3 linked regions of the Neodiprion lecontei genome follow. The protein of the gene in region 3 purifies or fractionates together with the protein of the main gene of each other region. This does not show direct contact. Links are inferred from orthologs where the notes say so. Each region holds a gene or a part of one and is shown on either strand. Other genes may lie near its edges.

What was found.
Region 1: the proteins of epidermal growth factor receptor (region 3) and growth factor receptor-bound protein 2 purify together in Drosophila melanogaster (affinity purification with western blotting; 4 studies listed by BioGRID, with this or other methods). This does not show direct contact. The link is inferred for Neodiprion lecontei from reciprocal best matches to the Drosophila melanogaster genes Egfr and drk.
Region 2: the proteins of epidermal growth factor receptor (region 3) and leucine-rich repeat, immunoglobulin-like domain and transmembrane domain-containing protein 2 purify together in Drosophila melanogaster (affinity purification with western blotting; 5 studies listed by BioGRID). This does not show direct contact. The link is inferred for Neodiprion lecontei from reciprocal best matches to the Drosophila melanogaster genes Egfr and kek1.

What each region holds. Positions count from the first base shown.
Region 1 is NC_060266.1:3,271,024-3,279,021, forward strand, and holds the start of growth factor receptor-bound protein 2, read left to right. Parts: upstream 1-3,557; 5' UTR 3,558-4,012; coding exon 4,013-4,090; intron 4,091-7,053; coding exon 7,054-7,151; intron 7,152-7,344; coding exon 7,345-7,464; intron 7,465-7,649; coding exon 7,650-7,815; intron 7,816-7,998.
Region 2 is NC_060261.1:14,886,719-14,895,602, forward strand, and holds leucine-rich repeat, immunoglobulin-like domain and transmembrane domain-containing protein 2, read right to left. Parts: upstream 5,149-8,884; 5' UTR 4,290-5,148; coding exon 2,430-4,289; 3' UTR 1,942-2,429; downstream 1-1,941.
Region 3 is NC_060261.1:44,220,521-44,228,531, reverse strand, and holds the start of epidermal growth factor receptor, read right to left. Parts: upstream 4,978-8,011; intron 4,647-4,977; 5' UTR 4,128-4,646; intron 3,923-4,127; 5' UTR 3,701-3,922; intron 3,534-3,700; exon of another isoform or gene 3,427-3,533; 5' UTR 3,198-3,426; coding exon 3,136-3,197; intron 3,018-3,135; coding exon 2,826-3,017; intron 2,701-2,825; coding exon 2,435-2,700; intron 566-2,434; coding exon 230-565; intron 80-229; coding exon 1-79. UniProt on the Drosophila melanogaster protein: Receptor tyrosine kinase, binding ligands of the EGF family and activating several signaling cascades to convert extracellular cues into appropriate cellular responses. Known ligands include spitz, gurken, vein and giant-lens.

The DNA.
Region 1 (7,998 bases), on a different chromosome or scaffold from region 3:
TTGTCCAACTCCCACCACGTATTCGTTGCGATCGCAATCGCAACACGATATGATTTGACAAATTGGTCGTCACGCGCGTTTTTCGTAGATTTCAAAATGCTATAATTCACTTTGCTTAAACCATACGTTCCTCAAATTATAACATACGTGTTATCAATCTTTGTATACTAAAAATTTTATCAAACTTTCTCTCGATTTATATGTCTGTACATTCATATGTTATATACATGACGATATATTGGGGTATGTATTTATTCCTTGAAAGTATAACGTCGAAAATTAATGTATCGGAGCTAAATTCCTTTAAACTAAATTTTAATTTTAAATCCTACTCAAGCAACCGATACCAACTTTCTCAAAAATGAGATAGGGCCGTGAATTTGAAAGCCATATTTTCAGCGATAGTTAACATAGTCATCGTAGTAAACCAGATGAAATGTTTGTTATATTGACCCACTTATCATTCCGTATAATTAACCCTAGTCGCTTACACCTATGGAAACTTCCACATTACTTACACGGGGTTACTCAAACCCCAGCCAACTTTGGAACGTTTTTACTGTGCGCAACATTAAGTTATGCACAGTTATGAGTTGAACAAAATTCTGAGACAAAATTTAAAAATTCAGAAATCGATTCCGATCTTATTGTTAGTTTTAGCAAAAAACCATGGAGGATGTGGGAGAAATTCTTGAAGCAAAAAAAGTAAAACGATACGCAATACATAGATGGGGTCTCTGAGAGTGAAAAGTTGTTTCATCCTTCATTTTACTTGCACAAGCAACCCTGATTCAAGCACGCTGATTTCAAAATTGTACGTTAAAGTCGGTTCTAGGATCAACTCGACCCCGTGTAAGTGACTAGGGTCAAGTATCAAACATTATCATTATCAGTCGCATCATTATTTTGGTGTTGAACAAAACTAATGAAATGAAAAGATTCTCCATTGTTGATTTTCTCCGTAGCCACGACGGCGACAGAATCAGACTCCAGCTGTGGTTTTTCTCGCGCTGTGCGGTCCGTACTTTCCCCGTCGTCGAGCGTCTCTCTATCTCTTCATCTCCCGTGCTCAAGCCCGCGGTTTTTCTCAGACTCGTCCCGTCTTCTTCTCTCTCCTTGCAGCCCTTCCCTATCCCGCTCTTCTCGTGGCAGGGGCCGCCCGTTTGTCCGGGGATCGCATTTAAGTACCTTTCATCTTCTTTTCGAAGAGACGTGCATGCATGCATGTATTATACCTGTACGCAGGTATACATAACCGGAGAGCGACCTGCATCGAAAAGGGCAGAAACTACGTGCGAACTGTAGGGCCGTCGTGCTTCTTTCTTCTATTTTTCGTTCCTCTTTGGTGGATCCTTAAGGGATGTACAAGCATGCGCAGTGGACGATGTTGCTTGACAATGATAGACTTAGCCGAGTTCAAGTAGAGGAACTGAACCCAACCATCATCGTCCACCATATATAGCTATATATCCCACTTGAAATAAACACAGTTCTCATTCTGTCTCACTCTTTTCATCATCGTACAGTCGTTGGACATGCGTTGGGCAGTATGTGAAAACTCTTTCATCTCTCTATCGTATGCAGCATCGTATGTGGGTAGCGTTTCCCGGATACATTGGTTAATAAAGCTGCGCAGTAATAATACAACGTAACACAATACAAATATAATACATTTATCAGAATGAGTCCTTCTTTAATTCTCGAAACGATCCCGATTCAAAGCAAAATGGTACGAATCGGTTATTTTAGCTGGGTACGACCTATCAATCACACTCGATTTTCAAACTCCTATTAGTCCCTTATTATGGTATGTTCAATTTCGTCGATGAGTTTCGTTCTACGCCGGCAGACAGGCGACGTCCGATGCTTTCGACCTTCCGGCGGAATGGATCAGTGACCGCCACATATGATTCACGCACAAAAATTTATCTTTTTCTCTTATTTGGGAAATTACCGTTACCAGAGATATGCACGCAGGTTTCACACCGTGGCCATGGAGGATATCGCAAGGAAGAATAAATACGACAGGTCAACAGTTTAACCGATAATTTATTATCCGGATACTGAATAATTCATAATATGCGTACATGTATAGATATACGTATGTGTATACATGTTGTAACGCGTAAATTTTCGTCATTGTCTCTGGCCGGAATAATCAGCTCGAACAAGGTGTACGTATACACCTATATGCTAATTACACCTATCTATACCTACCTGTGCATCAACGATACTAATATACAGTTGCGAATTTCAAATCGATCTTATGGTTCAAAATTCATTGTAAATGAACAAATATTTCTCTATTAATTTTTAACACCGTATTTTATTACAGTTCATCCATCATTTCTACGAATGTAAACTTCCACTCGCTAAACCTATACGCATGCGCGTTTATTTGTTTGTATGTACATACATACATGCATCGACGCAGAGGATAGGCGGTTGTTCGTGTTTCATGAAAAGAAACGTGCCTGGCTCTGCCGAATGACGACAGCAGTCGACAGGCTTTTCCTCGAGCTGTACAACCGAGTTGTTGCCGACTGCGCATGTCGCGTATTCCGCGGTCGCGAAGTAGTCCCAGAGGTAAAATGAGAAAAAAAAATGGCGTTCATGTTGCCGCGTAGAAATGTACTCGAACGGATTTTCCGCAATTACAATAACCCTGCAAAACGTCTGGGGTAGTCAATGGGAATACGACTTGATAAGCGATAGGTGGGATAAACTATCGGGTGAAAATTACCAGGCCCCAAAATATCGTCGGGCTGTTTTAGTACCGACGTGAAACGACGCGGTGGCAGCACCGTCGCTAACCGGGATCCCCAGGAGAAGGCAGGAGGTGCAGCAGCGGTCAGTGGCGACCGACGGCGGCTGATAAGCGTAAGCTTAAAGCAATGGGTTATAATTCCTCGAAGTATGCAATTGCGGTGGTCGTCGTGAACTGATGACAGTTTTAACGGTTTACCAATAAAAGTTCGTTCCGATTAATAAGGAGCAATTAACGCGGCGAACATTATTATCTAATTTTCTTGCCGCAAGAAGACAACCGACCGAAATTATAATGAAAGATTACGGGTTCCGTTTCTGCTAGTATCGCGTTTCGCTACCGCTACTAATACTACTACTGGCTCCTGGCACTCGTGTTTCGATCGAGAGGAAACAGATATCGTTCACAGTGTGTTGTTTAAACCATACAAACGCGAACGTGACATAGATACGCGTCTCGGTGCATAAGTAAAACGTTTCGAAAACAAAAGAGGAACGATAAAGAAAAGGAACAAGAGTTTAACAACACCAACACAACAAGTTTAGAGGTACAAAGAGAAGGAACGAGAGAAGGAAAAGAAAAATAATAAAAAATCAAAAATAAAAAAACAACAAGCAAAATAAAGAACCCAGCTGCGGTTTTTCGTTACTGTCACAAAATCTACGTGTCCGATTATTATCAACTGGTGGTGTATGTTGTATACTGTGCAGTTTAAGTTGTTCTTCTCTCAACAGGCTATATCAGAGGTGAAAGAAAAAAAAAGATAATATATATATATATATATCGAAAGGCGACCGACGGGCGTCGAGAGGCGAACGAACGGCCGATCACCATCCACGGAGTAGATCCGCAGCTGTGATTTTTTTTTCCTCATTACATACGGCGATACGTGGTACCCATAGGCTTATTATACCCAGTCACACTGCGTGTGACATACGAAAGGAAAGAAGAGGAAAAACTACTCTTCAATTGGGTCGTTTGAACTTTGTGTCGAGGTGGACGTTGTTCAAGGCTGGTTCGTGCCAAGGGAGAGACGTTCGTTTATTACCTACCTAACCGAGAACCCGTGACGACGACGAAGACGACGACGACGAGGACGTGGAGGAGGACGAGGACGAGGAGGAGGAGCAGGAGAACGATTGATATCGCACGCATAAATTCTTCGGCGAAATATAACAAATATAACGGATTTGCCAGGATTCAACTTGGATAAATAGATTCGGATAAAGAGAGTGAATCATCACCATGGAGGCGATAGCGAAACACGATTTCAATGCGACGGCCGATGACGAGCTCAGCTTTCGTAGGAGTCAAGTATTGAAGGTTGGTACGGCTCACCCTCTCCTCGCCGCCCTTCCCCGCCCACCACCGCTCTCGTCATCTCGTCGTTTATCCATTCCTCTTCACACAATGTGTCTATTTACTTATGCATACCCACATGTGTCGTCCTAGACGGATCCTGTATAATCCCTGATCGTGCCATGGCAATATTTATCCCATTTCTTACGCCTCGCGCTGTAAATTAAGCGCAAATAACACGCTTCTTATCTTATCTATACTTATACCATACGTGTGATGTATGTAAACGGGGGACAGCGCGCATATGCGGAACATGTTTCCTAGATAACCGAGGTGAAAAGAATAGCAGCGGTGATTGTATGGAGGGAAGAGAAGAGAAGAGAAGAAATGAAGAAAAAAATTAAAATAAATAAAATAGAAACAAATGACGAACGATCGCCTGTTCGACTCAACAACGTTACAATGTGTTCCACGCTTTTTCCCTACGTTTTTTTTTTTTTTTTTTATTCTATTTCACCCATCGCCCTGTCATCGTCTATTTGATAAAACTAAAGGAAAGGAGGAAGAACGATATCAACACGGGACAAGCAAAACGGGACACGCACACGCGCATACACCCGCAAAAAGCAGTAACGAATTCTTTCATATCATCAGCGCCATTCTCCCAATCACCAAATATAGAAATACACATACGTATGTGTGTATGCATGCACCTGTGTGTTCGCTCTTCGATCTCACTGATCCGCACTACGGATGGTGGAGGAGGATTTTATCGCGTTTCGGGATTTTGCAATCTAACAATATGACATTTCGTAATACAATTGTCTCTACGTATGGCAAAAGAATTTTTATTCCTTGTTAATAAGTTGGCTAGTTTTTTTTTATCATCGCCTACACCCTTAATTTTTCATTGCGTTCATCAATTTTGTGTAATATCAATTCTTTCATCCCTGATTTGCGCTTTGGTTGCAGGTTCATGAATCGAGAAAATTCGATACCAATCGCCTTTCTGAATTCATTTAGCCAATCATGAAAACTTTCTTGGAATCTTGCTTATAGGTATATCCATCTGAGTCTTTCGAATTTTATTTTATTAACAAAAAAAAAAAAAAAAAGAAGGAGAAGAAGCAGAGAAAGGAAACTCGCCAATATTTTATTGGCATAAGTTTCCTTTCTTCGGTGATCGCGCTATCTATGCTTCTCGATCGTTTAAAAGATCGTTAGTACCAAAATAATAAAAAAAAAAAAAAAGCTGCTGAATATTTTATGACAGCGAAGCGTCAAGTGAAATATATTTGTACATTTAACATAAAGAATTTCTATGAAAGAAACGAAACGACGACGTTTTGTTGCGCATACGTTAATCGTTCTTACTTTGTATACATTTGATGATTATTGTATATTATTTCGACATCGGAATGAATATTATTTGTGGAAGTTTGTCATTGTTTTCGGAGTATCGTGTTTCTCCTACGCGTAACTACATTGTCGTAAGAGTCTATGACGAAACCAGAAATCGAGAATATTGTACATAAGCACGTATGCAGGGAACTGAGTCTTGAGACTTCTGAGACTGACTCTGACACGAGCTGAATATCGTGTCCAAGTTATGCCATAGCTATTTTCTGCTTGGGCAAAACTATACTCGATCTTCGCTCTTATACCTATTTATAAATTTTCATGAAACCATGCGAGAAACGTGGATAGATACCCACGTAGGTATGAAGGAAAACAGAGCCTCTGCGGTTCTTCCTCGTCTAGATGATTTCGCGTTTTTTTAGGAACAGCGACCAACCAACGAACCACGATCCCATCCGCAAATTTTCGATGAAACGATCAAACTTGTGAAAAAAGCAACGCATCGAAAGTTATGTAACGGGCGTTGATATTGTAACGGATTTACGAAAGTAAATCGGTTGGAAAATGTCAACACATTTATAAAAAATTCTATAAGTGGCTGCAAGTGGCGCCATTTTTGTGGAGAAATTTAGCAACTCTAAGGGAATGACTAGAAATGTATGTGCAGTGTAGTAACATGCATTCTATACGTCCTAAAAATAGTACATTTCAAGTCGTACAATGACGCAAAATTTCTTGTCCATGTTGAGAAATTAAATTGTATTTCGTTATGAAATTAAAATAAAGATTGAAAGGAAAACTGGAGATAGAAACTTTTTTTTCGCGGATATCCGATTTTCAAAATTTTAAAGTTCATTCCTTTTCCTATTCCTAATGAAAGGTCAGACATCCCTGTTTGTTATCCCGTTAAATCGATCCATAGAATTTATTGTTAATAATTAATTTTCGCAATTGATAAGTTATATTCTAGAAATGACATTTCATACTAAAGAATTCAAGATCATTCACAAATTATTGTCACATTACAGAGGAGGAAAAAAAAATGAAGAAGACGAATAACAATAATTAGTATACAAACAGATATTTTTGTCTGAAACTTTGGCATCTATTATCGTCTAAGATAAGTTTCCTCCTTTAACAACCGCTGCATACATTACTACACGAAAATATCATTTTAAATACCCGTATGCTCTGGCGTTCCTTTTTTCTTTTATCTTTTGTCCTAATCAATAGGGTATTTAAATACCACCTGCTTATCGTTATGTTGATATCAGTTTCGCTCCTCCTTTCCTGCAAACGAAACTCATTAATCTTACGACCTTGGTTCGGTTTGCTGCTGCTACTTTGGTGGTGGAAGCTGCGATTATTCATACATGTATACTTGCGCAGCATGTATTATTACCACACTGACCAGCATGCAGCTGGCTCCGTTATCAATAGGAAGACAAGAGCAGCAATGACGGAAAATTGAAAAAAAAATCGGTCATTTTTTATAGCTGGGGATTTACCTTTACATACATATTCAATTTTCCAATCTCTTTATTTTCATCATCTCAAAAGAACAACGCACAAAATACACTGTTCCTTTGATTTTATAAATAACTGATTTAACTTTCTCTATTTATTAGATTTTAAACATGGAAGACGACATGAATTGGTACAGAGCAGAATTGGACTCTAGGGAAGGCTTGATACCGAGCAATTACATTGAGATGAAGAATCACGAGTAAGTTTGACGGCGTATTTCTTTCTTAATGAGTTTCATTCCATTGTTGACCCAAGCCAAAGCCAAAGCTATATGAAAAAGGCGATGCTGACTTGAAAGTGCCTAAGATAACAAATTAAGGATATGTTTGAAACAAGGGAAAAAAAAGAGAGAACCAGAACTTGACTTTTCTATTTTTGTTCCCTGTACGCAGCTGGTATTACGGGAGAATAACAAGAGCAGATGCGGAAAGGCTTTTGATGAACAAACGCGAAGGTGCGTTTCTTATCAGAATCAGCGAGAGTTCTCCCGGTGATTTTTCCCTATCAGTCAAGTAAGTTTTGTACAAATATTCGTTCCATCGTTCGAAAAATGTCTAACTTTAAAAGTTGTTAAAACAAAGATTTGCGGTATTTGTATGATTTTTACCTCTCATAGTTTACAATAATACTCGAAGATATTTAACCATTTAAACGCTTATGCATAGCTTCGGATCGAGACATTATTTCAATTCCACAGATGCTCGGATGGCGTTCAGCATTTCAAAGTCCTCAGAGACGCGCAAGGCAAGTTCTTCCTTTGGGTAGTCAAATTCAACAGTCTTAACGAGCTCGTCGAATATCATCGCACCGCATCAGTATCTCGTTCTCAGGACGTGAAATTGCTTGATATGAAACCAGAGGAGGTGAGGAAAATTAACAATATGCTGCGAAATGGTTGTTCCGTTTTATTTATACACATATCGATCCTAAAATCACTCCAATTAATCAATGAGAAGTATTAACTTCCAGAAGTGAAAAGTATCGGAAGAATTTACTACAAAGTTATCATCGACGTTCCGTCTTCATTTGACTTTTCTTGTTATTGC
Region 2 (8,884 bases), about 29 Mb from region 3:
CAGAATGTAACTCTGTATAATCTTTTTTTGTTGACCGTAGTGAAAAAAAACTTGTTCTATTTGAACCGATTTTTTATACATAACAATAAGATTCATATTTTAACAACAGTGTTTTAATTGTGTGTAAGCGCATCGATGTATATAAGATATGGTTTTGAAGAGAATCGATTTCATTTAGCTCGCAGCAGGTTTTTAGAACCGATAGCATATTATTTTTTCGAAGCTCCCTCAAGTTATGAAGAGAAAATAATTGCGTGGGATAGCTGAAAAATGTTAAGCGTAATAACGGCTCTAATTACTTCGGAACAAGCTTAGAATGTCTGAATTCATTAAAGCATTTCAAATTTTACGAAATTAATAGGAAATTAAAGTACAGACAAGAGCAAATAAATTCATAAGGAAATAAATCATCGAACAATATTGTAATCGTATGAATGTCCAGGACAGAAGAATAATTTCAGGACGTTTCCAAGGAGTCATGATTCAGAGGATATTTTCAGGACTTCAAGGATTTCCAGGACTACTGGACACCCTGTAATTTCGTACGTTAAAAATGTATCAGACTCCCTAATTTTTCACCGAAATTTGTAAGGCCCAAAATAGCGCTTCATCGGCACATCATGAATACATCAACTGCTTAGAAACGGCACCATTCCCATCCTGGACAGTGATGTGTTCTCCGTCAAGTTTGTGTATACCGCCAGTTTGTCACGATGCGGGGGAGGAACGTGCGAGGCTTGGTGTACATGCCCAGCCGTGCGTCAATCACTACGGTCTCTCAATCATTCTAGCCAATTGATCGCGAGAGAAATAGACGAGAAAAAAATGCAAGACCGAGGGGGGCGAACCGGAATTTCAAGTGTTATGGCTTAACAAGACACTCCCTCGAACGGAAGGGGCGAAATTTCAGGCTGGGCCAATGCGAGCGAAAAATTGGTAATCGATTGATATGTTGGCTCTGCAATGAGGATCGAAATCCAGATATTCAATTCAATACGCTCGAGTGTGTTCGAATGGCGAATCGGGCACGAGATCCTCGTCATTGCATGTCTATTGGCTTGGCTCTCACTTCAAACCAAAACTTGGAGCGGTGAGGACTTAAAAGTACAAGAGAGCGGTGACGATAAAATACACTCTGCCACTGATTCCAGGGGATTGTTCAACTGCGAATAAAAATATACGCAGTAGGACTTGACTAGCGGGTTTTCCGGGCACTGGAAATCTGGCCAAGACAATCAATTCTTAAGCTCCACATTTTGCTGTAGCATTTAGTGACCTGGATGATGTCTGTAAGAATTCACTTTGATATAGTCGTCAGTGTCACGCGAGAGAAGAGCTTTACATAAACGATCGGAACGGAGAGTTTAGATGACACTTTAATTTATTACGTTCGAGATTGAGAATATTTTATACAAATACATGGGGCTAGGTATAGTATTCAATTTGAAATGTTGTTGCACCCGTGAAAAACTTGTGATCAAAGTTCGAAAAACTGTGAAACCAAACGTATGTTTAGTGTGACTCGATAAATGAACGATATGTTACACTTTCTGGAAAAGAATTGGGTAAATAGGAGTACAACACAAATAACCGAATGATCGTTTGTTTACACAGGCTGAGTGAGCTTGCACGACACAACGGCATAAAGCGTAGACACAAGTATACGCGAAAGACTACACTTCGTATGAAAAGTATAACTTTCTCATTAATACCACACTAGTACTTCCAACCATAGGACGAATTATTCACCCACGACCAGATTTGACCCCAGATAAGAGATGTGTGTATCGAAATCAAGTCGATTGGGTGACATCGATTTTCCAGACGTTGAACTGTACAACAAAGTGATGAGATTTTGATTCGTGTAGGTGAACGAGAGAGGAAGTGTATAAAAGAATATGATGATTAGTCTAGTGTTTTTTTTTTAATTAAATATGACCATATAGAAAATCCATTTATATATACCAACATGTGACTTTAATAATTTACCCTCGCTAACTATACATTTTTTGGAACATTTACAGTCTTTACTTATAAATTGTATATTTGGCATTGCCGTATAGAAATTACCCGTCAATATTGTGCCATAAGACCACTGAAACAATGACATTGTCTTGCTTTTCTCTACGTCTCACTAAAGACTGCGAGAGCTTAGCCCACAGCATCTCTGATCACCCTCGGTACAACGAAGTATAAGAAACTTCTGTACCGCACAAGAAAATTGAGCCTCGCCGAAGGCCGTGTAACGCAACGTCTCGAGTACCACTTTGATAAAGTTCACTACTGCCCGTCCGGCACGTGAAAACCGATGGCCAAAATAACGAATGAATAATGTCCTTTGGCATTGATTAGTCGTATAAGTCATCCTGGTGCCGTCTGCGTAACTCCAAGTATCTGTGTCGGGCATCGCAGTAATGAAGAAGCGGTACCTAGACGTCGGTGCCTGTGCCTTCCTGGTATCCTTCGTCGGGCGAGCTCCGTGTTGAACCGAGGACCCGCTTCAGGGCGGAAACGGGTGGCAAAACCGGGACGCCCTTCTGCCAAACGCGGATCTGCTTAGCGCCCGGAGGAACGGACGAGGCGACTTGCGCCGCGTCCACGGAAGCCGTCATCGCCGATTGCATGTCCTTGACGACGTACCCGCCGACGGGAATCTCCTCTTTCGACTCCCATATGCAGTTCGAGTATAGGAGCTTGTTGTTCTTTACTTCTATGCTGTAGCCGCCGGGTGTGAAGGGTTTAGTCTCGTCGGCCGAACCGCGCCGCGTGTCCCGAATAAGGTCGGGGTTCTCGACGAGCATCAGCGACGTCGTCGACGAGTAGCACGGCCCGGGACCGGAAGCCGCATGGCTCTCGGTGTAGCGGGCGAAGGTGTAATCGTCCTCGGAGAAGGCGTACGGCTTCTGGACGTAGTTCAGGTTCAGGGATGCCGGCGGCTTCGCCTCGGCGAACGTGGCGAACGAGGTCGCCTCGTCATTGTCGGTTTTTCTCCGTGACGACGAGCCGCCGCCTTCGACGACGCCGTTGCCTGCTGCAACGCCGTCCTGCGCGCCCCCGGAGGACTTGATTTCCTTCAGAGGCATTCTCCTCAGACGGATAAACAACACGAGGATGATTAACAGGATGAAAAGAATTAACACAACGAGGGCCGCGGAGATTCCGGCTATTTGACCCGAGCCCAGGGTCGACATTCCCGCCGTTCTCAGCGACACGTGAAGGGTAAAATTGGCCTCCACGCTGCCGGCCCGGTTCTCGGCGACGCAGTAAAACTCGCTCGAGTCCGACTCTTGGGCGTTTGTCAGGACGAGGGTGCTCTTCTTCCGCGATTGGCCCTCCTCGAATATCAGGATTTTCTGGAAACTGCTGAACGCCGAATGGTTCGCGAGCATCCTGCCGTTCCAGTACCACTTTATTTGAGCCGGTGGTACGGCGCTCACCCGGCAAACTATGCTCGCGTTTTCCCCGATCGTCGCCTCGGCGTAACGAGTCACGACTAGGAGAACTGGACGGCAGGCGAAATCGTCGACTGATAGTTCTGAGAACATTTTGTCAAGAAGTTGATCGGGACCCCCGCGACATGCCGGGGCGACGAGCGTTGGGATGTTCCGTTTTAGGAGCCAGATTTTTATGTCCCTCAAGTGGCAGTCGCACTTCCACGGGTTCTCGTGCAGAGCGATACTGGTCAGCTTCTCGAGCGACTCGAACATGCTCGGGTGAAGGTTGACCAATTTGTTGTTGTTCAGTTTCAGGCTTTCCAGCAGTCCCAGGCCCTCGAAGGCCTTCGAATCAACCTCGTTTATCTTGCAGTTTGATATGTCGAGCTTGACGAGGTTTGGGGTGTACTTCAAAGCGTTCGCCGGTACTTTTTGTATTGGATTGTGGGACAGTATTAAATCCCGCAGAAATTGCGTGTCGGCGAAACTCGTGTTTGGTATTGACGTGAGCAAGTTGTTGCTCAAGTCCAACTCGACAAGATTAGTCAAGCCGGCCAAAGCTTCGCTGTCGATTCGGTCAATGTGACAGCCGCGCAAGTATAGCCGCTGCAGATTCGTAAGTCCTAATCGTTTGAAAATGTACTTTGGTAGGACCTTAATTTTATTTCCACTCATGTCCAACACTTGAGTCTCCGAATCGATCCACCCGGGAATGGTAGTTAGGGAGCGATCCGTGCATTCTACCGTCTGCTTCCCGTTCTTCCATTTGCAAGAACAATCGTCCGAACACTTCTCCCCCAGTGATCCAACGACGAACATTGCTGTGGCGTAGTAAATTATCTGTAGAAAGTTCATGATGACTGTCGTTATTTTATCGCGCAGTTACCCCGCGACGATAATTTCATACCGTTAACCCAGCCGGGGCATCTCTTTTACAACCACACGACCAAACCCAGCGCCCAATATTCTTTTCGCGATAGTCATTTTCACTCAACTTATATTAAATCCCTTCCGACTCCCGCGGTACGAGTCGAATCACCGACAGTCACATTTTACAAGGACAATACAGAATTCCTTCCATTATTATTGAGTAGCCGTGATTCCGGCGAGCACTTTACCCCCGAATAACACACTCGAGAAGAACCAAGTGTCGTCGCACGTATCGTCGTATATGTAGTACAACTCTTCGCGAATTGTCTCGCTCCCAAGGGTCCGCCGTCCGCCTACGTCTCTGTATCTGATATATTTATACCGTGTGCCCCGTCCAACTTTTTCACCCTGCACCAAAACTGAATTCACTCACGGTGCGAAGAGCGATCGAACCTCATACGCACCAACGCCTCGTGTGATTCTGTCTCCTAGGTAATAAAACGTCCCGCGCACTGTCGTTATCATCTACACTGTGAAAGAAAATCATCACAACAAGCGTCGTAACGTCGATGGAGATTTATCTCCCACAGTGACTACACAAATTACTCGTCTAAATCATAAACGACAAGTGTTTCCTTCGCACTCTCACTAGATACTTGTCTCGATCTGACACAACTCACTGGTCGCGATAAGATTCTTTTTTTTAAATACAAACAACGCGCTGCCCAAGCGTTCGTTCCCTGACGCGAAGTAGGGCGCACCCTTCTCGCAGCTATACCAGCCGATTTCCCCTGTACTCGCGAACACTGCGCGCTCCCTACAGAAATCACCCCCGCCACTGGGCAACCAACCCCTGCCTGACGGTGTCGCGGGTCTGGCCACCCCTACGGGGGAGAGGCGCGCGCACCTTCCCAACGTATCGAATGCTACGTCACATTAAAATATACGGTTATTTCACAAAGTGGTTAAATGCACTGCTATATAGTTGATACAGGTTTATGTACCCCATGTGCCTGCGGGGCGCATGGACGAGATCCACGCTCAGGTATTATGCCAGGCTGATTACTGCACGAGCGCTCGTATGTGTGGTTGACTTGAGATTCGGTGTGTACAGCTGTTAATTCTTCGGGATACATGCATGCCTGTATACAATACCTGGATTTGTTTCTCCGGCGATGCCAAGGCAACCCGAGCCTTGATGGGTTTATCTGTCAGCTAGCTCGTGGCATAGCAGCGTTCGAACGACGGGAAGGGCAAGGAGAGAAACGACGGGTTTGTAAAGCGGTGGGGGGACGGTGCATTTATGAAGAAATCTACGTTGAAAGGCCTTTTAGACCTAATTCAGTGCCTGAATCAATAACCTTTGATTCCACCGCTTCCGGTTGATGGCACCACTCAAATGCGGGGAACGGTTGATGCGGCGACTGAGAGAGAGTCGAACTGATTTTCGAGATACTCCAACGTGGAACCTCGACCGTTTCGCGGATTTCGCAGAATATCTTCTGATTTCCTTGAATTAGGCAAATTTTTCACCCACACCGCTCTGCGGTCTTTTACAGACCGACAATAAGCCCGTTCCCCTGCAGCCGAGGAGGACATCTTTCCCCTTTCCAAGTATATAAAAAAAATTCTTTTGAATATTAAAAAATCCGATCACCATCGATATATACTACTATAAGCGGATGGCGATTACATGTAATTATTGTTAATTGCTATTTCTGCTTTTTTTTATTGTCGAATTAACTCTCTTTTCACTGATTGTGAGTAAAAAATTAATTTATTGAAGTTCCTAGAAAATTCTGATAAAATAGGTATCGTTAAACAAGGTTTAGGGCGATTATATTTAGGAATCCTGTTCGGGTCCACCCTGGATGTAAACGAACCGTAAATTCTTTTGATAATAAAACGTATTTAAATAACAATGTTTCGTCTCGCAAGTATAAGTGAAGTGAAATCGTTAGAGTTTCGAAAATATGACTGTTAAGGCTGCAGTCGATATTTCAATTTAATAAAACACCGCGAGTCTTAATGCAAAGGAAGTCACAGTTTAAGGACAACGCTTGTAAGGTGGCAATGGGTGATTGGACACCGAAATCGACTTCAGCGGGTTGAAGTACTACAGTCGAAATCACAAGAAAATGTGGCACAAATGACTATTTATCGTTACTACAGTAGCGTATGCCTCATTTTTGATTGCATTCAATTTATTGTTGCACCGGCATCAAATTACCGCGATACTAACAAAAAAAATATATTATGAGTGACCGCATAATCCAAAAGAATATACATACTGGATCATCTGGTTACGGCTACAAAACTTATCTCCATTTTATATCTATAACTATATTGTTCAGTTATAGTAGAAAACGAAAATAGCTAAAGACTGTGTAGTGATCACAAATCAGATCTCCGCAAAGGTTTTCGAAAAACAGTTTATATGTATATAAAAAGGTAAATGTTTGTTACTGAACTGGGTGGATTATTGTACACACGTATGCACACGCGATTAAATTGACCGCATTTTGCGTCGATTTGATGAATTATTGAACACGTTTCTCCCATTGTCACGTGCATATCGCCATGTGTACTTCAATAATAAATGGTGAAACTATATCCCCTAGATGTGTGTCAGAACCTTCAAGACCGCATATACACATAAAATCAACTCTTCAATGCGCCTGACTGTATTATTTTTCCTCGAGGCATTTGTTTGCTGCAAACTACCCAGCTCAAAGCCTTGATTATTATACCTCAATAGATCTATACTTCGATAAGGATAGGTATACATATAAAATCGGAAACGTGACACAAACACGCTATTTCCGTGCTTTAATTTTCACAAACAACAATCAACTCGGGGCTCAAGGGCTTTCCCCACAACGGCCCTCAATGTGCCCGCATAAAACGTAATGCAAGGCTACATGTGTGTAAATACATGCACACATACCTGCGGACGCGGAGGAAAAATTATATACTATCGTCTATTGTCGTACTTTCATTAAATTCCACCCTTAATCATAACAAGACGTCGCGGGTGCCGCTTACTGCTCTCTCATCGTTCTACTCATTTCTCTTTCTCTCTTTCTCTCTCTCTCCTCGCGTATGCCACATATATATATATATATATATATGTATATATGTATATATATGTATATATACATATACACCCTGTTTGTGTTTGGCTCTACTTGGCCCTCTACGGTATATATTTTTCCGACGCTACAACACCTGTAATAGCCTGCAGACTCGCAGTTGGTTTGGAAATATTTATGGTAGGTTTTTGGCGCCGCGGCCGTCCGAAATCAGGGAGGCCGTATACGTCTGACGACATACCCTCGCCTCGCCTCCTGCGGGTCGTAAAGATTAAAGTGCCAGTTAAGAATGCGTTGAACGCTATTTATATTCCCAGTTCTCTCCGACTTTCTGTCATGAGTATTTCTTCAATCATACCCAAATGCGTACAACATCGAACCCTCGGAACTGTTGTATACCAAAATTGAATTCAATCCTCGTTTCTGCTACGGCCAGACGCGCCGAATCGCGGTGGGGGGACGAAATATTTTTTCCGATAATCTATCGACTATCGCCCGTTATTGTCTGTAAGGGCGAACGGTGTTTGTATTGAAAAATAAGCAGTCCGATCGTATTCGCACCTGTAACACGAGCTTGATGTAAATATCGACTTGCCGATTATCTTTCAGATTTTCCGATGAAATGGCAATTTGCAATGTAATGAATAAATGCGGAAAACGAAAACCCCACGCTCTCGACAACACCGCAGTCTTTCCAATATATTACCTATGAACTATTCGAGTAAATCTTCGTATCTATTAGCTGCGAAGAAGACATTTTATTTTCTACGCGGCTCACGCGATATTTTTCGGCGTGGATTTAACGTCGACGGTTTGTGCTCTGAACATAACCACCCTACGGCGAGCAGGACCAGTATGCCTATGTTCAGAGCGACGCGTCAAGCCAAATTTTCAACAACATTCACAATGGAGTTGTTCCGTTCTCTGATTCGCCGATGAAATTGGACAAGATTTCAGACACCGAGTAGTTGCTTTAGGCACTCTTTGGCTTTAGGCAGCTGTGGGTTACACACTTTTCTGCAATTTTTTCGAGTTACTTCGGGCGTGTTCGGAAATTGACTGCAAGTACTGTCAGTACTGAAAATCCAAGTCCATTTTCAGTACTGACGGTACTTTCAGTCAATTTCCGAACACGCCCTTCTTCATAAGTTTCGAATTGCTGGATTCACGTATCTGTGTACAATATTTAAGAGTCCTTTGAAGAGAAAAGAATTAGAAATTTAAAAAATCTCGCTGAAACTATGCCATTTTGCACATATATAACGTTTAAACGTCTGTGCATTCGGTCTGTGAAAAACAATTTGTTTTTCTGTGCAGTCCGAAATGAGACTTTAAACTTGAGATAGCCTTATTCCGAACTTGACATTGTTTTTAAAAAAATATGAAAAACCCTGAAATATTTATATACGCATTCGACGGAAAGTGTAACAGTCTATTATTGAATCTTGGTGATCGGTCAATTATGTAAACGTATTTTTTGTTAACGTT
Region 3 (8,011 bases):
ATTATTTCGTCCCAATTGATGGTCCTCATGTGGCAGAGATTGTAGTTGTTGTACATGCCGACACTGCCATTTAGGATGTCTGGGGAATAATTAATAAATTATTACTAGGTTAATATCATTACTTCAGTGAAGCTCGGCATACCTATATGTATACCTTCAGTGTATATGTATACATATAAGTATATCGCGTTATTGTTGATGCGGCCAAAATTGGATATTAAACCGTTACCTCGAAGTGCCGGTAGCTCGAGGCTATTCATCTGGCACATGGTGACGAATAGTGCAAACTCGGCCTCGTGAATGTTCAGCTTGAACAGGGTTCGGCCGCGAATGATCTGGAGCCGTGGCAGGACAACCTTCTGCACGTCCACGTGGCTGATGAGGACGTACCCGGTGACCTCTCGGATGTACTGAAGGAAACTGAGGTCCAGCTCAAGGTTCTGCAGCCATGTGATTTCGAGGTTGCCGTCAACGTACGTACAATTCGTATACCGATCTCGAAGATTTCGGTAATGATGGTCCTTGTTGGAGGGTACCGATAGTCGACCATTTGTCCCGATACAGACTGAAAAAGTTTAGAAAAAATTTTATTAACGTGCTTTCCGCCCACTTCGTCGATACACAATAAGCTATACCCAAATCAAATGATAATCGAAAGGTACACGGCCTGAGAAATATTCGGCCGAGCTTCGTATGCGCTGACAGTTTAGCTTGGTATACAAAAATGAAAATACCGATATCATTACTGTTCACCTTTGTCAGACGCTTGTATAAAAATTGGATTTCCGTCCCTGCATTCGCTTAAGGGCATGACCGAATGATTAGCAGCAGGATAATAAACGGCAGCATACAGTTTGAGGGAATAAAACAAGTAACGAGGATCAATAGGGTTGGTCGCATAGGCAGATTTCGCGGTTTCTTCGGCAAGCGCAGGCATCGGCAAATTGTGACTGTCTTTTCACGAATCGCCCGACCAATCACAAAACATGGACTGATTAAACTGTAAATGGCCACGTATATATTCGTTCGTTATAAGGGAACAAGCGATTGCGTTGGATCATACGTGTTGAGACACCGAATTCGTATACATAACTGCGATGCTCTTATAACGAGGAGTGGTATTGATCATCGACACATTCACGCACGTGTGATTCTTGAGCTCTCCAGGTAGTAGTCGGTGAAAGTTCCGGCGTCGAATTTCTTGGAATCCTATTCCCCTTACCACCCTAACATACGTCTTACAACGAGGTTGCACTGTATGCGATAAAGAAAAACTTTCCTTTGAGATAATTTTGAAAAACCTTTCATCAAGAAGATGCGAAACAAAGTATCTTTCAAGGACGCAACAGAATATGTAACTTGATAACTTTGTGGAGAAAGAATGAACGCAATGCCAACCTTCTCAAGTCATTATTGGAAAGTAAAAATGTATGGAGTTTTCACGGCCATATAATGCATTTCCCTAATAAGTAAACCTCATCAACCGGAAGACCTTGATTACTTCAGAATTGTTCTATTTATTTCTAGTAGCGAATAACAAATCGAAATCAAAAAACATGTAGCCTCAGTTGAATTATTAATATCATGTTATAGTACAATGTACATTTTCTAGCTTCGATTCAAGGTTTCGTGAGGCCTTCAGCGCGAAAAGTTGTGTAGTAAAGCGAAGCTGCCGTTGTTTATCAACGCGTGTACACGCCGCGCGCCGCCTCTATGTCGTTTCAGCCGGAGCGGCTACTGCATTACACCCTGTGAGATCAAAGTAAAAGCAACACGAACGTTGATAGTTCCTTTCGCCACTCTTGTCAATATTCCTCTTAATTTTCATGAAGAGGGTAAAACAAAACTCACAAGGCCAAATAAGTGTAACGTTTTTAAGTTGATAGTTTCTCAAGCATAAGCCGTATTATACACCGCACAGTAGCTATATTTATTAATGCCTGCATCAATTCTTTACATCCAAGTGTAGATGTAGAAAATCGGGTTCCGGCCGTAGGCCAGTAAAATGAACACAGCTCATGTGTGTAAAGTCACTTCTGGTTACCCACGTACACATGTGTACGCATAAGAAGGTGATTCTAAAACGAACTGCGATACTAGCCTAATCGTCGATCAGTATCTTGTATAAGATATCAGTTCCGTTTCAGCATCAACCCCTGCACGTGTACTTGGATAAGTTATAAGTTTATTGAAGATTTATGAGCACAGAAAAGATAAATAAAAATAATCTGCTCGCTTGTTGATTCGATTCATAGCATATTTTCCAAACAATACTGGCACAGAGACGATTGAGAATGTAACAGATTTATTTCGACCTCTTTATTTAGCACGCTGATCCGTTGTGAGGGTGAAAAGCTGGGGAAGAGGGGGGGGTATACAACTGGTAAGTTGAAGAAAAATAGGAAAAGCTAAGGAGTTCAGAACTGAAATGTACCGCAGACAAGGAACAAATAACGGCGTGTGGAATGTGCTTTGTTCGTCGATCTCTCTCCGTATTGCCTTTCAGGCATCTCCGGGTCTTGGTCGCTCTCGCGCAATCTCACCTCGCCGGACGGCTCTGGGACTGTGAGGTTGCGAGGCTGCAGGACCAGCTCGTGTCTGGCTCCGAGTACGTGAGCCTTTCTCTGGATATTAACTCTACCAGAAGTACCGGACGGCGGTTTATTGTGAACCTTGATCACCTCAGCCACCCAGTTCAACCTTGAACGGTAATATTGCTTGTATTCGTATTATAACAACTGTTTGCCTTCAGAGCCTACGTCGTAAGACTCTATGTGCTCTGAGTATTCTTCTCTCGATAAAATAATACAAGCGTGGAGCGCTACCTCGGACGGGCGCATTTCACGTCGATTCGATCAATGGTTAGGAACGGTGCGTGGAATCCCCGTACACGTGCATCATCCCCACACACATACGGAGCAAGGATTTGTTGACTTTTCCAAGTATGGCAGTCAGATATGGCGCAAGAAATATTTATTTCATTCGTGTGAATGTCATTTGTTTCAACAGAAAGGTGGCTACAACAATAACTTGTGTTATCGTATCAAACCACTCTTATTTGAATTAACCAAACATTTTTTACGCCATATATTCATACAAACTGACTGCAGTTTTAAAAAATTTTCTGCTACGTACCGTGGTATTCTTGTAGCAATCGTGGCAACACGGAAGGAACTCTCATTCCTCATCTCTATCATTCAAGGTTTCGGATGCAAATTGATTGAAATCGAACGCTTCTAGGAGTCAACCTAATTTTCTTACTCAATTGCTGCTTGCATTGGTACAAAAGTTACAACACTTTCATTGTTTTCGACCAAATCTTTCAACGCTCCGTTGTCACACTTCCGGGGAATCCCGCCGGTGTTGCTTTGGGTCAAATTGACCCCATATCGGATTTCAGAACGCTGTTACATGCAAACTATCATTCTGGTTTGAAACAAAAAATTGGGAGAAATACTTTGAACATTCTAAAATAAGAATTCATTGCTGTTTTAGGAGAAATAGAATGGCGACACGTTAAAAAAAAATTCACAAAGTCATAAGTTTGCAAAAAGAGGTTCTTCGTATAAAAAATTGTAAGTTTTTCAATTTTTAATATTTTTTCCGCAATATTATTGCGTGACACTCTCGAAACGGGCTACGCAATGGGGGAAAGAAATAGCTTGTTAGTGTACAATTCACAAAGCATATTCATTCTGACCCATGAAGCTGATCACGATGTTCCGTAAGCACCTGTCGCATGAACACATTTTGGTATGTGTGCACTGGTAGGCAGATACGGACAGCCTTTGAGTAGAACCACCAAATTATCGGTAGGTGGCAGAGAAGGATCCATTTTCACCCTTTCAGTTACAGATATTTAGTCCCAAAGTCCAAAGATTCAGTGTGACAACGAAAGGTTGAACAAGACTCAGCATGGAACCTGTCAAATGACAAACTATATTTGTTTGTATTTGCTGGACACCTAAAGCCATACAGGCAAATTGATTGAATTTAAATTTTAAACATGTAGTTCAAAAAAGGCACCAAGTTTCACAAGTTCTAAATTTTTTAGGATAATTCCTAATACTGGTAGTCATTTTAGTGTACAACGAATTACGCAATAGCCATCAGATTATGTTAATTACCAAAGTTTTATTGGCTGATTGAACACGGACGGTTTCGACCATTTCGATAAATTGTTCAAGGGTTTTCCAACTACAGGATTCTAAATCCGAATGATCAGCCCCAATAATACACAGTTAACCGTAATAATAAATTATTCTTCCCTTTTACAGGTTAATCAAAAATACAGAACACTGAATATATGCCAAGAATCAAGGAAAACATAGAAGTCAAATGCGTTACTAGAAATATATTCAGGGTTAGAAACATGTCAAGGTCAAAGTACAGTGACGGAGCAGGATTGCTTAAGAATTTCACTTTTCTGGCTCGTTAGGGCTTGGAACTCAGTGTTGTCAGCTGAAAAATGGAAAAATTATTATTTTGACATCAGAATTGGAAGAAATGCATGCAACGCTTGTGGAGTACATCTCTGCGAGTTGAGGTATACTCTTCCGCGTGTCTTCATTCTACAATATAGCAGGTCAAAAGTCTTGGACCGTGTAGAATCATGCCCAAGTAATAACGCTTTCGGATCACTCTATCTGAAATTTATTTGATATATATATATATATATATATATATATATATATATATATATATACACACACGTATATCTAACATGAGACCTCGAACATTCTCACGGACGTACCATCGTCAAAATCGTAATACACCTAACGATGAGACGACCTAACGCTGTTAAATCACTGTGTTACTATATGCCCTATTGATAACCTTAAAATGTAATGATTTGGACTGCCGGAATCGTCGTGAAGATTTTGTCAAGTACCAACTATTCTTTCGCGAGAAGAGTTGCCAAGGTGCGGTAAATCAAATTATAGAATAAGCTCGGATCAGATCGGGATGTTGTCTCACTTTTTCCTTTCACAAACTCAGAATTGAGTTCTGCGGAAGCATATCGATGCGAGAAGACAACCACCAACAATATCAGTGCTGCGCCGAGGAGACGACTGTACGTTGACGGCGAATTGAGCTCGATGCGATGCAGACTTGACATGGTGAGCGTTCATGCCCTCCACGGATCCGTGGACTCTGTCAAGGTGACCTTGAGGGATGCCACGGAGACTGGCCTCGGAAGCACGGCTTTCGGACACGCGTCAAGAAAGTCGAATGCGTTTCGAACGAACGTTGCGGTTTCCATCGCGCCCAATTCACCAAGTCTGGCACATGCCAGAATGGATGACTTCTTTCTAAAACATGTAATAAAGTTAATTAGTCAATGTGAACATCGCTGGTCTCGAGAAAAAATTCAAATTAACATTTTTAATACGTATAAGTATACTACGTATGTGGACATAATATAATATCCGATGCGTGTTTTCAATACAGGCATGAGTACAGCACGCAGAGGAAGGTTCAGATATGATGTCACCGGTACTTTCGTTACATTATTTAAATACAAGAAATACCCTCTTCACTACTATTTAGTTGTACGACGGTAACGTGTGGTTTTGTCAGAATATTAGATCATAATCGTAAGCCCCTCGTAAAAATCGCTTTCTGATAAACTTCCAGTGCTGGTATTCGCTTGCTTTCTTAATATCTTGGAGTGAAAGACATATAATCACTCTTTAGAGTGACTCTATGCACTCCATGCGTTTCGACTGGAAAAGTTCACTCTTAAAGAGTGAATATTTACTCAATCATCCGAATTGCGCTGTTTTCACTCCTAGGAAATTTGGAAAGTATTCAACCAATTCCTCATTTGTTTATTTTTTGAATAATTTGGCCTATTCTTTCCTGGCGCTTCTCTGGTCCGTACCCCAGCCCCGCAGACAATGTTTTAATATTCGAACGGAGGCTCTGTATGATGATCGCATCTTACCACATCTTCCGGATAGCATGTAATTCTGTGCGATTTCATCACAGCAACGACAGTAGGTGACGGCGACGTGGCATATTCTGTAACTGCAACGCTAGCCTTAGCCGAGCGGGTAAGCTATCCGTAATAAAAAATGTTCGAGAATGTTTCCCAATGGTTCTCCTCCTGAATCCATGTGTGCACAACATGCATGGGTACATGTTTTAGGAGTTGGCGAAAGAACGGTTTTTGCCACAAATTCCCCTTCCATCTCCTCTGTTAGAGGGCAATTTGGTTTTCTTGTACTCCTTAACCTTTTCTCATCGTCCTTCGATCAACTTAGCGATCTACCCGTCCACCTAGCTACCTGCCTTTCTACCAATATATTCGTTCATCCATCTATCCATCTTTCCATTTTTCGATGCACCTAACCATCTATCCACACATCTACGGATATACTATCCGCGTAGGTATACAGGTCCCTATGCTCGTTGTCAGTGTTCTTGAAGATTGTAAAAACAATCGGACGGACGTTGTTATCAACGATATCAATGCATAAGTGACGATGTTGACTCAGTTGACACGGTTCTCGCCGTGAGCCCGTGATAATTTTTTTTTTATTACAGAGGATTGCTTAAAAAAGCTCGCTTCAACGTAATCCAACGTCGTAAATAAGGGAGCCTGAAATTGCCCGGGTCCCAGGACTGTGGCAACTGGATGTTAACGATTTTACGATTTAACAAGGCGGAAAGGAGTCTACGTAATTCAAGTGCTGCGCTAATACAGCGATTCGTACTGAGCTTTCCTAATTCGAACTTGATTGTGGTTTCGATGCAAATTATTATGATGGAACGAAGACTACTTTATTTTAGACATTAGGGATGGTCTATAGCTCGACAGCTCCGCGGGATCTTATTATTTATTATCGGCATCACGAATCTTGGTCCTTTTACTATAAAAAAGATGTTTCTCTTACCGCGGCCAGGCTGGATTTCGACGTCATTATACGCCTATGCCAACGCCAATTTCATTTAAATAACTGTTCGCAGAATATTGAGTTACAGGAAAGTCCTTCTCTCTTTCCTCAACGGCACGGATAGACATTGGTATAACGGTGATGGTGCCACAAATATCAATTATGCACAGAAATGATGCGCGTGGCTGTTGAGCTTTGCCGATTAGAATTCGATTGAAAATTCATCGAAGCAAGCAAATGTGAAGTTTCGAAAGTACCCGCACCGCCGTGCCATCCAAAATTCGTTCTCTGTATACGGTTCTTGAACTGGATATCACTGGGCCGTATTTATTTTAGCAAATCTAGGCATCTCTTAGATGCGAGATTTAGGTATCTGGTTGAGATATGTTTCATAACATCAAGGCCCGGGTGTATGAGATTTCATGTACAATAAGTTAGGAACAATCGGAGCGGGCACCAGTCGGCTGTAAATATGAATAAAACAAACGGTTATCGGCGTATTTCCGTGATATCCGGTGGTGCATCGCTATACCGAGTCTGCTCTAAATGAAAATTGTGAGCATAGCTAACGATAAGTTGGGTTCAACACCTACATCTTGGCTCTTTAGATGACGCAATCTTTTTCTTTTGCAATTGTACCATACTGCGTCTCCACTTCATCTCTATCCACAGTAAGCAGAATACTGAATTCAGAATCTATATTGGAATTGCACTGACTCTTTGACATCCGATGCTACTTTTCACTGTGCCGATTACGACAGGTAAGCTATTATCTCCACTTCAACTATAACGATGCGGTTTTGGACGGTTCAGCAACTGCAGCATCGTCATCACTTGGTCATCATTTGTTTCACGCGTTGTATTAGCTCAATTGAGCTCGGGACCATAATATCTTTCGATAATGGCGCCCGCACCTTTTGCGTGTTGTTCCCGTCGGCTTCTACAAAATAAACGACTGATTCGTCTCTGAATGAATCCATTTTGAATTTCGCAAACAAGTGGGGTTTAATTTCTGATGAATTCTCTATCCCGGCATCCGATGTTATTTATTACAAGTTTCTATAATATGCGTAATTGCGGTGTGATGTATCAATTCGGCGAACAGCGACACA